2 linked regions of the Caenorhabditis elegans genome follow. The protein of the gene in region 1 interacts with the protein of each later gene in a pairwise test. Each region holds a gene or a part of one and is shown on either strand. Other genes may lie near its edges. The genes, in order: osm-12 and dyf-3.

The links.
Region 2: the proteins of osm-12 (region 1) and dyf-3 interact in a two-hybrid assay, tested with the Caenorhabditis elegans proteins (one large-scale study listed by BioGRID).

Annotation. Positions count from the first base shown.
Region 1 is NC_003281.10:12,199,241-12,204,277, reverse strand, and holds the start of osm-12 (BBSome complex member bbs-7), read left to right. Parts: upstream 1-1,740; 5' UTR 1,741-1,827; coding exon 1,828-1,926; intron 1,927-2,213; coding exon 2,214-2,276; intron 2,277-2,956; coding exon 2,957-3,211; intron 3,212-4,444; coding exon 4,445-4,882; intron 4,883-4,934; coding exon 4,935-5,019; intron 5,020-5,037. Other genes in the region: Y75B8A.13 (titin), read left to right, coding at 259-380. UniProt on the Caenorhabditis elegans protein: Component of the BBSome complex. The BBSome complex is thought to function as a coat complex required for sorting of specific membrane proteins to the primary cilia.
Region 2 is NC_003282.8:3,396,151-3,401,329, forward strand, and holds dyf-3 (Clusterin-associated protein 1 homolog), read right to left. Parts: upstream 2,974-5,179; coding exon 2,952-2,973; intron 2,752-2,951; coding exon 2,640-2,751; intron 2,549-2,639; coding exon 2,290-2,548; intron 2,234-2,289; coding exon 2,033-2,233; intron 1,588-2,032; coding exon 1,417-1,587; intron 1,371-1,416; coding exon 1,222-1,370; intron 1,173-1,221; coding exon 1,117-1,172; intron 1,069-1,116; coding exon 887-1,068; intron 564-886; coding exon 501-563; downstream 1-500. Other genes in the region: C04C3.14 (uncharacterized protein), read left to right, coding at 235-292, 341-383; pdhb-1 (Pyruvate dehydrogenase E1 component subunit beta, mitochondrial), read left to right, coding at 3,538-3,607, 3,738-3,923, 4,459-4,589.

The sequences.
Region 1 (5,037 bases):
AATCGTAAAGAATTCCGAAAGGTACTTTAAAAAATTTCAAAAAAATATTCCAAAAAATATTCCAAATATCCTTAAAAATTCCGAAAAATCCTTTTAAAAAAATTTCCAAAAATCCTTTAAAAATTCCGTTTTGTCGATTTACGAGATTTCAGGGGATTGTTTTCGAATTTTTTAACATAAATATTCGGAATCAGGCGCAAATTTAGAGTAATTTAAAAGTATTTCCCTGAAAAGTTCAAAAATATTCTTTTTTTTCAGTAACAACTCCTGCTGCTCCGGCTCAAGAATCTACAGAAAGTTCCGCCGCTCAAAAACGTGAATTCCTGCCTGAACACGACGAGGATGAAGCCCAGGATCCGAAAAGACCACGTCTTGAATGATTTTTTTTTCTAAAATTAATATTTGATTTTCTAAAAATGATCTCCCTTTTTTTTTAAACGATTATATATTGTTAACCCGTTCCATTTTATTGAAAAAGTTTGACTTTTTTATTCAATAAATTTTTGTTTTTTTTTTAAAATTAGATCAACCCCTGAAATTTGCAGTTTGCAGGAATTAAAAAAGAGGTGATTTTGCAAGTGTGTGTCGATTTACGACAGAATTTTGTACTACACGTGGACAAGCGCGAAAGATTTTTTCGTCGGCAAATTGCCGATTTGTCGGAAATTTTCGATTCCCGCGAATTGCCGATTTGCCAGAAATTTTCAATTCCGGCAGTTTGCAGATTTGCCGGATCATTACAGTTCCGGCAAATTCCCGTTTTGCCGGAAGTTTTCAATTCCGGCAATTTGCCAATTTGCCAGAAATTTTCAATTCCGGCAAATTGCCGATTTGCCGGAAATTTTCATTATCGGAAAATTGCCGATTTGCCGGAAATTTTTGATTCCAGCGAATTGCCGTTTTGCCGATTTGCCGTAAATGTTCAATTCCGACAATTTGCCGATTTGTCGGAAGTTTTCAATTCCGGCAATTTGCCAATTTGCCGGAAGTTTTCAATTCCGGCAGTTTGCTGATTAGCCAGAAATTTTCAATTCCGGCAACTTGCCAATTTGCTGGAAATTTTCAATTCCGGCAAATTGCGTATTTGCCGGAAATTTTCATTTTCGGCAAATTGCCGATTTGCCGCAAATTTGCTGATTTGCCAGGAATTTTCAATTCCGGCAATTTGCCGATTTGCCGGAAATTTTCATTTTCGGAAAATTGCCGACTTGCCGGAAATTTTTGATTCCAGCGAATTGCCGTTTTGCCGATTTGCCGTAAATGTTCAATTCCGACAATTTGCCGATTTGTCGGAAATTTTCGATTCCCGCGAATTGCCGATTTGCCAGAAATTTTCAATTCTGGCAGTTTGCAGATTTGCCGGATCATTACAGTTCCGGCAAATTCCCGTTTTGCCAGAAATTTTCAATTCCGGCAGTTTGCAGATTTGCCGGAAATTTTCAATTCCTGTTTTTTTAAATTATTTTTTGAATTTTGGTGGTCACCAAGTTTGTAGTATAGCTTTTAGATGACATACGTCTCATGTGAAATTAAAAAAAAAAACGGCAAATTCGGCAAATTTGCCCAGCTTGGTAATTTCGGCAAATTTGCCGCAGTGCACTGTTTTTTAGACTCGGTCATTATGGCCCATTTCCTAAGCAAATACCTACTACAATCTTTTTCAAACACCTCGCTTCTCACCCGTCACCCCAATGAGCCACCTGACCCCTCTCCAGCTCATGTTGCCATAGTAACTCGACAACACCAGCGACTCGGCGGTTCCTAGTTCTCCATTTATTGAAATCTTGGATTTTCTGCTCACATTTCTCTCAGCTTCCACTGTAAAAAATGCAAAATTATTCGAGAACTGATTTCGCTCAAGTCGGCACTACTAATCGGGGTTGCATGCGTGTTATTCCGTCGGATAAGGAGAAAGAACACGATTTGGTAAGGGTTTTTTTAAATACTTTAAGCATGTATCAGATATATACACGGGCTTCTAGCCTTCCTCTTTGAATTTTTCGCGCTCCATTGACAATCACCCCCGCCGCACAACGTGTACTCCACACGGACAAATACATATAGTTTTACAATCGAGCCGCGACGCGACACGCAACGCGCCGTAAATCTACCCCAGATATGGCCTGGCTTAGTTAGGCAAACTCTTCCATTTAAATTTATGAGGGAGGCCAGAGATACGTGAAAGTTAAAAAAAACCAATTTGATGTTTGCAGATAGTAGTCGGTGGACAGAACGGAAGCTTAATCTGTTTATCGAGAAAATCGAATGACACCACGGTGAGTAAATTTTTTATGATTTTTTCCAGACAGTTTCAGATTTTTCTGGTGGAGTACACATGCTATGTAGTTTTCTAAAACAGGCGTGGGAAACAAATGCCGTTCGGCAAATCGGCAAATTGCCGGTTTGCCGATTTGCCGGATATCAATTTCCCGGAAGATTTTAGAGGGATAAGACGGAAACACTTAAAATTGTGCCTTTTTTAAAGTTTTTTCGGTTTTCTTTAGACATTTTCATATGTAGAATTTGCTTATTTTTCAAAATAGATGTAGAAACATTCATAGGATGCGTACAATTTTGCCCTTTACAACTGAAATTCTGAAATTTCCAAAAAAGAAAAAATCGGCAAGTCGGCAAATTGCCGGTATATCGGTTCTACCCAGTTTCTACCCATTGTCGCACATTTTCGTACTTCTAGCAATTTTTGTACTTTTTACGAAAATATTCGGGAAATGCACGAAGCGATTTGCCGAGATATGCCGAACTTGCCGGAAATTTGAAAAATGGCAATTTGCCGACTTTGCTGTTTGCCAAAAAAGCTCAATTTTGGCTACTTGTCGATTTGCCGGAACTTTTAAATTCCGAAACTTTGCCCGTTTGAAGAGATGCTGGGAATTTTCAATTCCGGCAAATTTCCGAATTTCCGATTTTTGCCGGATTTTAATTTAAAAATTTCCAGATAATATTCAAAACTCAACCAGGATACCCTGTTCAATCGTTGGCTCTCGGTGGCCCGGCATCGTCGAAAAAAAAGGATAAAATCTTTGTCGCATCACAAAATACGGTTCGAGGAGTCAATCGAAAAGGAAAAACATTTTTTTCGATGGAAACTAATATGGCTGAAGTTGCGAATCGAATGTTCGTACGTGGATTGGATGTGGTTTTGACTGGACGAAAAAGTTACAGTAGATATCATGACACGGTGGATTCGAATGTAGGTTTTTGCACCACCCGTTGGTCATAACCAGATTTTGTTTCTGTTGATGAAAAATAACATTATTTTTTTTTGAATTTTTTAAAACAATATTTCGGAAATTCGAATAATAGAAAAACGAAAATGTTTCAACATTTTCCAACACCCTTTTTGGTGTGTAGCAAATTTTAACGTTTGCCGTGCTCGCCAAGTTCGGCAAATTTGGCAAATTTGCCGCGCACCTCTGGTGCACATCGCTAAACTAACTGTGGTTAAGCTCTTTACCATTCAAATTTGAGTTTAATATTTAACTTAAAAAAGAAAAATTGATCTCCAAGCATTGAACAACTGCCCTTTTTTTAGAATATAATAGTTTCGAATATTTCCAGAAAAATAATTTTTTTCTGCCCAAATTTTTGCCCAAAAGATGACAGAAAAATGAAAATGGGCAAAAATAAAAAGTTGTCTAAATTTGTTTAAAAAAAGTAATTTATATATGGAGAATTCAGAAAATCTAGGTTTAACCCGTCAAAAATCATTAGAAAGTGGCAAAAATGGACAATTTACGGCAAAAAACGCAATTTTGAAACTAATCTAAAATGGTTAATTTTGTAGTTAGAGGACTCAAAATTGATCTCCGAACGCTAAAAAATTGCCCTTTTTCAGAATATAGTGGTTTTGTACATTTCCAGAAAAATCTTTTTTTTTGCCCAAATTTTTGCCCAAAAGATGGCAGAAAAATGAAAATGGGCAAAAATAAAAAGTTGTCTAAATTTGTTGAAAACGGGTAATTCATATACGTAGAATTCAGAAAAACTAGGTTCAACCCATCAAAAACTAATAAAAAGTGGCAAAAATGACAATTTATGGCAAAAAATGACAATTTTGAAAGTCCTCTAAAATGGTTATTTTTGTAGTTAGAGGACTCAAAATTGATGCCAGAACCCTAAAAATTTGCCCTTTTCCTATTTCTAATAATTTCCAAAAAAATATTTTTTTGCCCGAAAAAAATTGGGCAGTCATTAGATGGCAGAAAAATGAAAATGGGCAAAAATAAAAAGTTGTCTAAATTAGTTGAACACGGGTAATTCGTATATGGAGAATTCAGAAAATCTAGGTTTAACACATCAAAAACCATGAGAATGTGGCAAAAATGGACAATTTATGGCAAAAATTCACAATTTTGAAACTGTTCTAAAATGGCCAATTTTGTAGTAAGAGAGAACTCAAAATTGATCTACGAACAAATTCCAGAGTTATCTTTGCACGGAAGACATTCATGATGTTGTAAGCCTTGTATTCGAAGAAGCATGGGGGAGTCGAGAATACACTTCAATTCTCGCATGTGGTAACTCAACTCTTCAAATCATTGAAGGCAACAACTTCGCCTATGATGTCCGACTCGATAGTGTTCCATTCACAGTTTCCCTTTTTATGGGCGATGGTGGTCATACGAAGCTTTTGGTTCTTTACGGAACAAAAACTGGCAGGCTGGGACTTGTTAGTGTACCTCAAGGCGGTGGAAAGATCCTATGGGAAATTGATACAACGTCGGGAGCTTGTGTCACAACAATTGTGTGCTTCAATGTGACTGGCGGACAATTTCCGGATATTATTGTGGGAAAAGAAGATGGATTGATTGAGATTTACGTTATTGATGAAACTGATCATGCACATTTATTCGGAACTTTTGTAGGCTTTTGTTGAAGTTGCAAAATTCTTATGAAAAAAAAGGTGTTTTCAGTCTTGTGACGAGTCGATAACTGGAATATCGTGCGGTCATGTATCTTCAAAATCTGAGATTGATATTATTATTTGCACATTTACAGGTTTGTAACTGCTCAGTT
Region 2 (5,179 bases), on another chromosome or scaffold:
TTTAAGATTTTCCGATTTTTTTGCCTGAGAACTTTTCTGGGATCTTCCGAGTTGTTTGGCTAAAAAAATCTGAAATTTCAAAAATTTTCAGAATTCCATTTGGGTTTTTTGTAATTTTTGGCCAGAAAGTTTCTGAAAAAAAATCAGAAAAATCAGAAATTTTGTGGAATTTTCACAAAAAATTGTAGTTTTTTAAAAACTATTTTTCTGCAATAACCTAAAATATATTTCCAGGTTATGGCTCAAGCTCATCTCCTCCACAGTACTCTCAATCGGCATCGTCGACCGCAACGTATTCCACGTCATCACCTAGTAGTAATAGTAAAACCTCGAGTTTTAGGTACCGAGTGGATCCCGCCGAGATTGCCGTTATGCTTTTTTGAATTTTTTGACGATCTCTAATTGTTTTGTTGAATTGTAAATATGTAATAAAAAGGTGCATTTATTTTCTGGGGTTAATAAAAACTTAAGGGTTTTGCAAAAAAAACACAAGAAGAAGCTCAGAAGTCGTCTCCACTGCTCAAGTCGCTTTTCGCGTCGTCGGCCACGTGGGCGGTGGTGATCTGAAAATCGATAATTTTAGTTTCCACGGGTACGCGCTTCTGGTTTAGATTACGACCAGGCAAAGCTTAAGGCCAGAAATCGCGGGAAACTTAATTTTCACTGGAGTGACGTCACAGCCTTTTTTCTGAAGCTCATACACCGACAGGGTGTTGTTGGCCTGTCTGCGGGGTACGGTAGGTTGCCGTCACAGGAGGCATTTGTAAAAAATGTGACGTCACAACGCATCCTAGTGGAAGTTTCTGAACTTCCAAAGATCTAGCAGCTAAATCCACCTGACCATGAGGAGACGATCATCTACCCTCCCAAGCACCTTATCACTCACCCCGACCATATAATCCGCCTCGCTTCTCTCCTCATCCTCCTCCTGCCGATGAAGTTCTCTCTTGTGATGCTGCGCGACATTATCATCCATCCTGATGATCTCATCATCCTCGTCATCCTCATCGTCCTCATCATCATCAGAGGCATCACCACCCATCATGTTACCGTACACCTTGCGAACAGCTGGAAATGGTTAATAAACCTGTGGAGCTGATAGAACTTAACACTTACACTGCCTCCTGTCCACCAAGGGGGCGTCGGAGCCGTCGTCGTCGTGGAGTCCGATGCTGAAATAAGGATGTCAGTCGGAAGTTCTAAACTTCCATGAAAACTCACGCATCCTTCTTCTCCTGCTCCAGCCGCATTTTCTCAACGGCCATCCTCATCGCCTTCTCCAGCTCCTCCTGCCGTTGCCGCTCGGACCTCGCCAAGTCATCATGAACTTTTCGCAGATAGGACAGGTTGCGGAAGTTCAGCACGTAGACCTGGAAGCTTAGGCTTCACAGGGCAGCTCGGTATCCGGTGTCTTACCTCATAAAGTTTCTTCAGTCGCTCCTCAAACCGCTCGTACTCGTCCATATACTGAGGTCGGAAGGACTGTAGCTTTGCGAATCTTTTTTGCAACTGCTCGTACTCTCGCTTCTTTCGCTCTATCTTCTCGTCGAGCTCTGCCTCATCGCTGGCCACGTTGTTCAGCTTGTTCTGAAAATTTGAGAGGTTAGCTGGGGAGCCTGCACCTAACCTAATTGTAAGTGACTCAGACCCTCCGGGCTTTAAGAACAATCACGTGGGTTCGAGTGGAGTGGGTGTTGCTTCAAGCCAGTTAGGCTAATTCAGTCTATTCCTTCAGCTCCAAGATCCTCAGCGGACTCCTCGAGGCTAGGGGTCTCTGAGCTTCTGGAGAAGATGCACAGGCCCGGTCTAGTGGCTTGAAGCCCTGCATATACCACTAGAGTTCAGGTAATGAAGCTTCAAAGTCTGAATCAAAGTTCAAGTCACTCTTTGACCAAGCCCACGCCATTAGAAGAAGTCCAAGCTTTTTACTGTCCGCTTCACAATCAGGATCGAGCCAGGCCAATCTCTCAAACTCTAAGACGCCAGAGCTCAAACCTACGCCACCAGGAGCTCCGTGACCCGTCAAGCTTACCGATAGCTGCTCAGTCTCCTGAGCGATGTTCTGCACTGTTGCCTGCAGCACCTTCTCGGCCTCAGCAAGTGGTACCGCCCGTGACGCGGCTCTCTCGTGTTGCTGAGATATGAACTCCTGCCGGGACAGCAGCTCACTGAGCAGGGCACCTGTTTCCGGGAGTTGTGATGATAGCTGACGAGTGATTCGGACCTCCTGCATCTGAACTTTCGACAGTTTTTTCAGGCTTTTTCAGGCTGGTGGCCTGTGAGACCCACCTTCGACGAGAGCTTATTCTTGACTTGGGTCCATTTTGGCGAGTTATCAGTGTTCGGGTCCTCTGCCTTGGCCTGGTAGAGGATCTTCATGGCCGGTAGGAGTTCCTGCACCGCATGACCATCAGCCTGGTACAACTTTTTTGGATTCATCTTGATTCTCGAATTTTGGAGCATCAGGAGTACCGCGTTCTTGATGAAAGCGACCCGATCAGCTTCTGTTTGGACTTCGTGTGCGTCAAGGTTGGATTCGGGCTCAAATCTGGAATTTTTGGGCTTAGAGTAGGCTTGGAAGTTAGTGGCCAAAGTTTCTATATTTTTCGGCCAACGATTTTTTTCACTGGGAAACTAACTTTTTCACGATCCATTCCAGCAATTCAGCCACCAGCTGAAAATTTGGGGTCCGGAAATTCTCAATTGACATCAAGCGAGGGTATCGGAGGCTTCGCGTCATCTCACACAGGTCTGAAGTTGGCGAAATTTGGGACTAGAATCCGAACTCGGCCATGATTTTGTAAAATTCAATTTTAAGTGTATTTTGGGTCTTTTTTTTGCGTTTTATGGTTTAGAAACATTTCTCACCTAGATTTTAATGCAACACTTATTTTTTCCATATGAAAATCTCAAAGTTCAAATTTAAAATTAAAAAAGCCTTAAAAACTTACTTCTCAGCTCACGATACGACATTTTTCGTGCAGAATTCAATTGAAACTTCTCTTCTCAACAATTGCCTGCCTATTCCCCCATTCAATATTTCCTCCGTTCCCATAGAAACTCCCTGCAAACACCCCAAAGACTACGGTCGACGAGCTTCTGCAGCTCAACCGGCGTTTTGTACGCAAACACCGCGACGCCATATTGCACACATTTTTCGAGAGGAGCGCCGCGCGCATTTTCTCCGAGTTTTGTTTGCTTTTTTGCGCATCTTTCATTGATTTTTTATTAAAATCGGGGGAAATATGGTTTAAATTATCGATTTCCGCCTGTTTTAGTGGTGAAAATGTGAAAAATCGTAGTGAAAAACCCTAGAAACCAGTAAAATTCTATTTGGAAGGGTTTTGGTCTAAATTTTGAGTTTTTAGCATTAAAACAATATGCTCAGCAGAAAAACTAATGAAAATGTGAGAATTTTGAATCAAAATACCTAAATTTTTTAAAAAATCCTAGTTTTTCTCTATTTTTCTCAAAATTTCCGGCAAAAGCCTCAAAATTTCAATTAATTTCCGGTTTTTCAGGTAATCCCCGGTCGAAATGGCTCTGAGAAAGTGTGGAAACCTGTTCGTGGCTCGTCTCGCTGGCACCTCGACCAGAGCGGCTTCCAGTGAGTAGAAATTGCAAAAAATGAATGGAAAAAAAACGAAAAAATCGCTGATTACCGGCTAAAAATGAAGAATTGAACGGAAAAAACGAATTTTAACCTAAAAAAGCATAAAAATCGCCAATTTTTTCAGCAATGACCGTCCGTGACGCCCTAAATCAGGCTATGGACGAGGAAATCAAACGTGACGACCGAGTTTTCCTGATGGGAGAAGAAGTTGCTCAGTACGACGGAGCTTACAAGATTTCCAAGGGATTGTGGAAGAAGCACGGTGATAAGCGAGTCGTCGACACTCCAATTACTGAAATGGGATTCGCTGGTACGGGAAATCACGCTGGAAATCGAGAAAAATCGAGAAATGTTGACTCGGAACGTCAAAATCACTAATAAATCCCCAAAAACAGCACCATTTTTTCGAAAAGAAAGTGTCCAAATTTACTTTAATTTTGGATCTTTTCTCTCAAAAGTTCAGTTTTTACACTAAAAATTGGATTTTTCGAACAAATTTCGGAAATTTTCCTAAAAACAATTAATTTTCGGCATTTTTTATTGAAAATTTCAATATTCACTGCAAAAAGCTCGGAAATTACGGAGTTTTGATATTTTTCGCAGAAAATTCCGGTTTTATCAAAATTTTGTCGAAAATTAAGCTGAAAAATCACATTTTTTATATAAAAATCAGATTTTTCCCAATGTTATTTGCAGAAAAGCTCTAAGACCGCGCAAATTCAATTTTTCAGCAAAAATTGTCTAAAAAGCTCGAATTTTCGCATTTTTCTCGATTTATTCAATTTTTAGCAAAATTTTTTCAGAAAAAACTGAAAATTCCTCCAAAAAAATCACATTTTTTTCAGGAATCGCCGTCGGTGCTGCCTTCGCCGGGCTCCGTCCAATTTGCGAGTTCATGACATTCAATTTTTCCATGCAAGCCATCGATCAGATTATTAATTCAGCCGCAAAAACATATTATATGTCCGCCGGAAGGGTACGGTCTTGGCAATGTGCCACGTTTTCTGGAAATTGCGATTTTCAGCGAAAAAATAGCCGAAAAATTGAAGATTTTCACCAAATTTTTGACTAATTCGTGAGAAATCACGCTTTCTGCTATTTTTAGAACGAAATTCCTCGGTTTACACTGATTTTTCAGGAAAAAGTCAATTTCTGATACAAAAAATGCGATTTTTCTAGATTTTTGACTGAAAATCAGGGTTTTTCTGAAATTTCTACACAAATTTTACCTCAACAGAGCTGATTTTAGCTTTAAAATCCGATTTTTCTCGACTTTTCACTGAAAATTTCATTTTTTCAGCCATTTTCGTTGAATTTATGCTGAAAAATCATGTTTTTCACATGGTCTCACGCCATTTTGATAAGAAAAAATTTGTAAAAATCATCAACTGATAAGAATTCTTATCACTGAACACTTTCTGATCAGTGAATTTTATCAGAAATTGGAAATTTTTTTTCGGAAAATCGGTCCAAAACTGAGAAAATATAGGGAATTTATAACTTTTAAAGTTTTTTTTTCTTGTTTTTTTTTCTGAAAACACCGCTTTTCCAAGAAAAATACCGGAG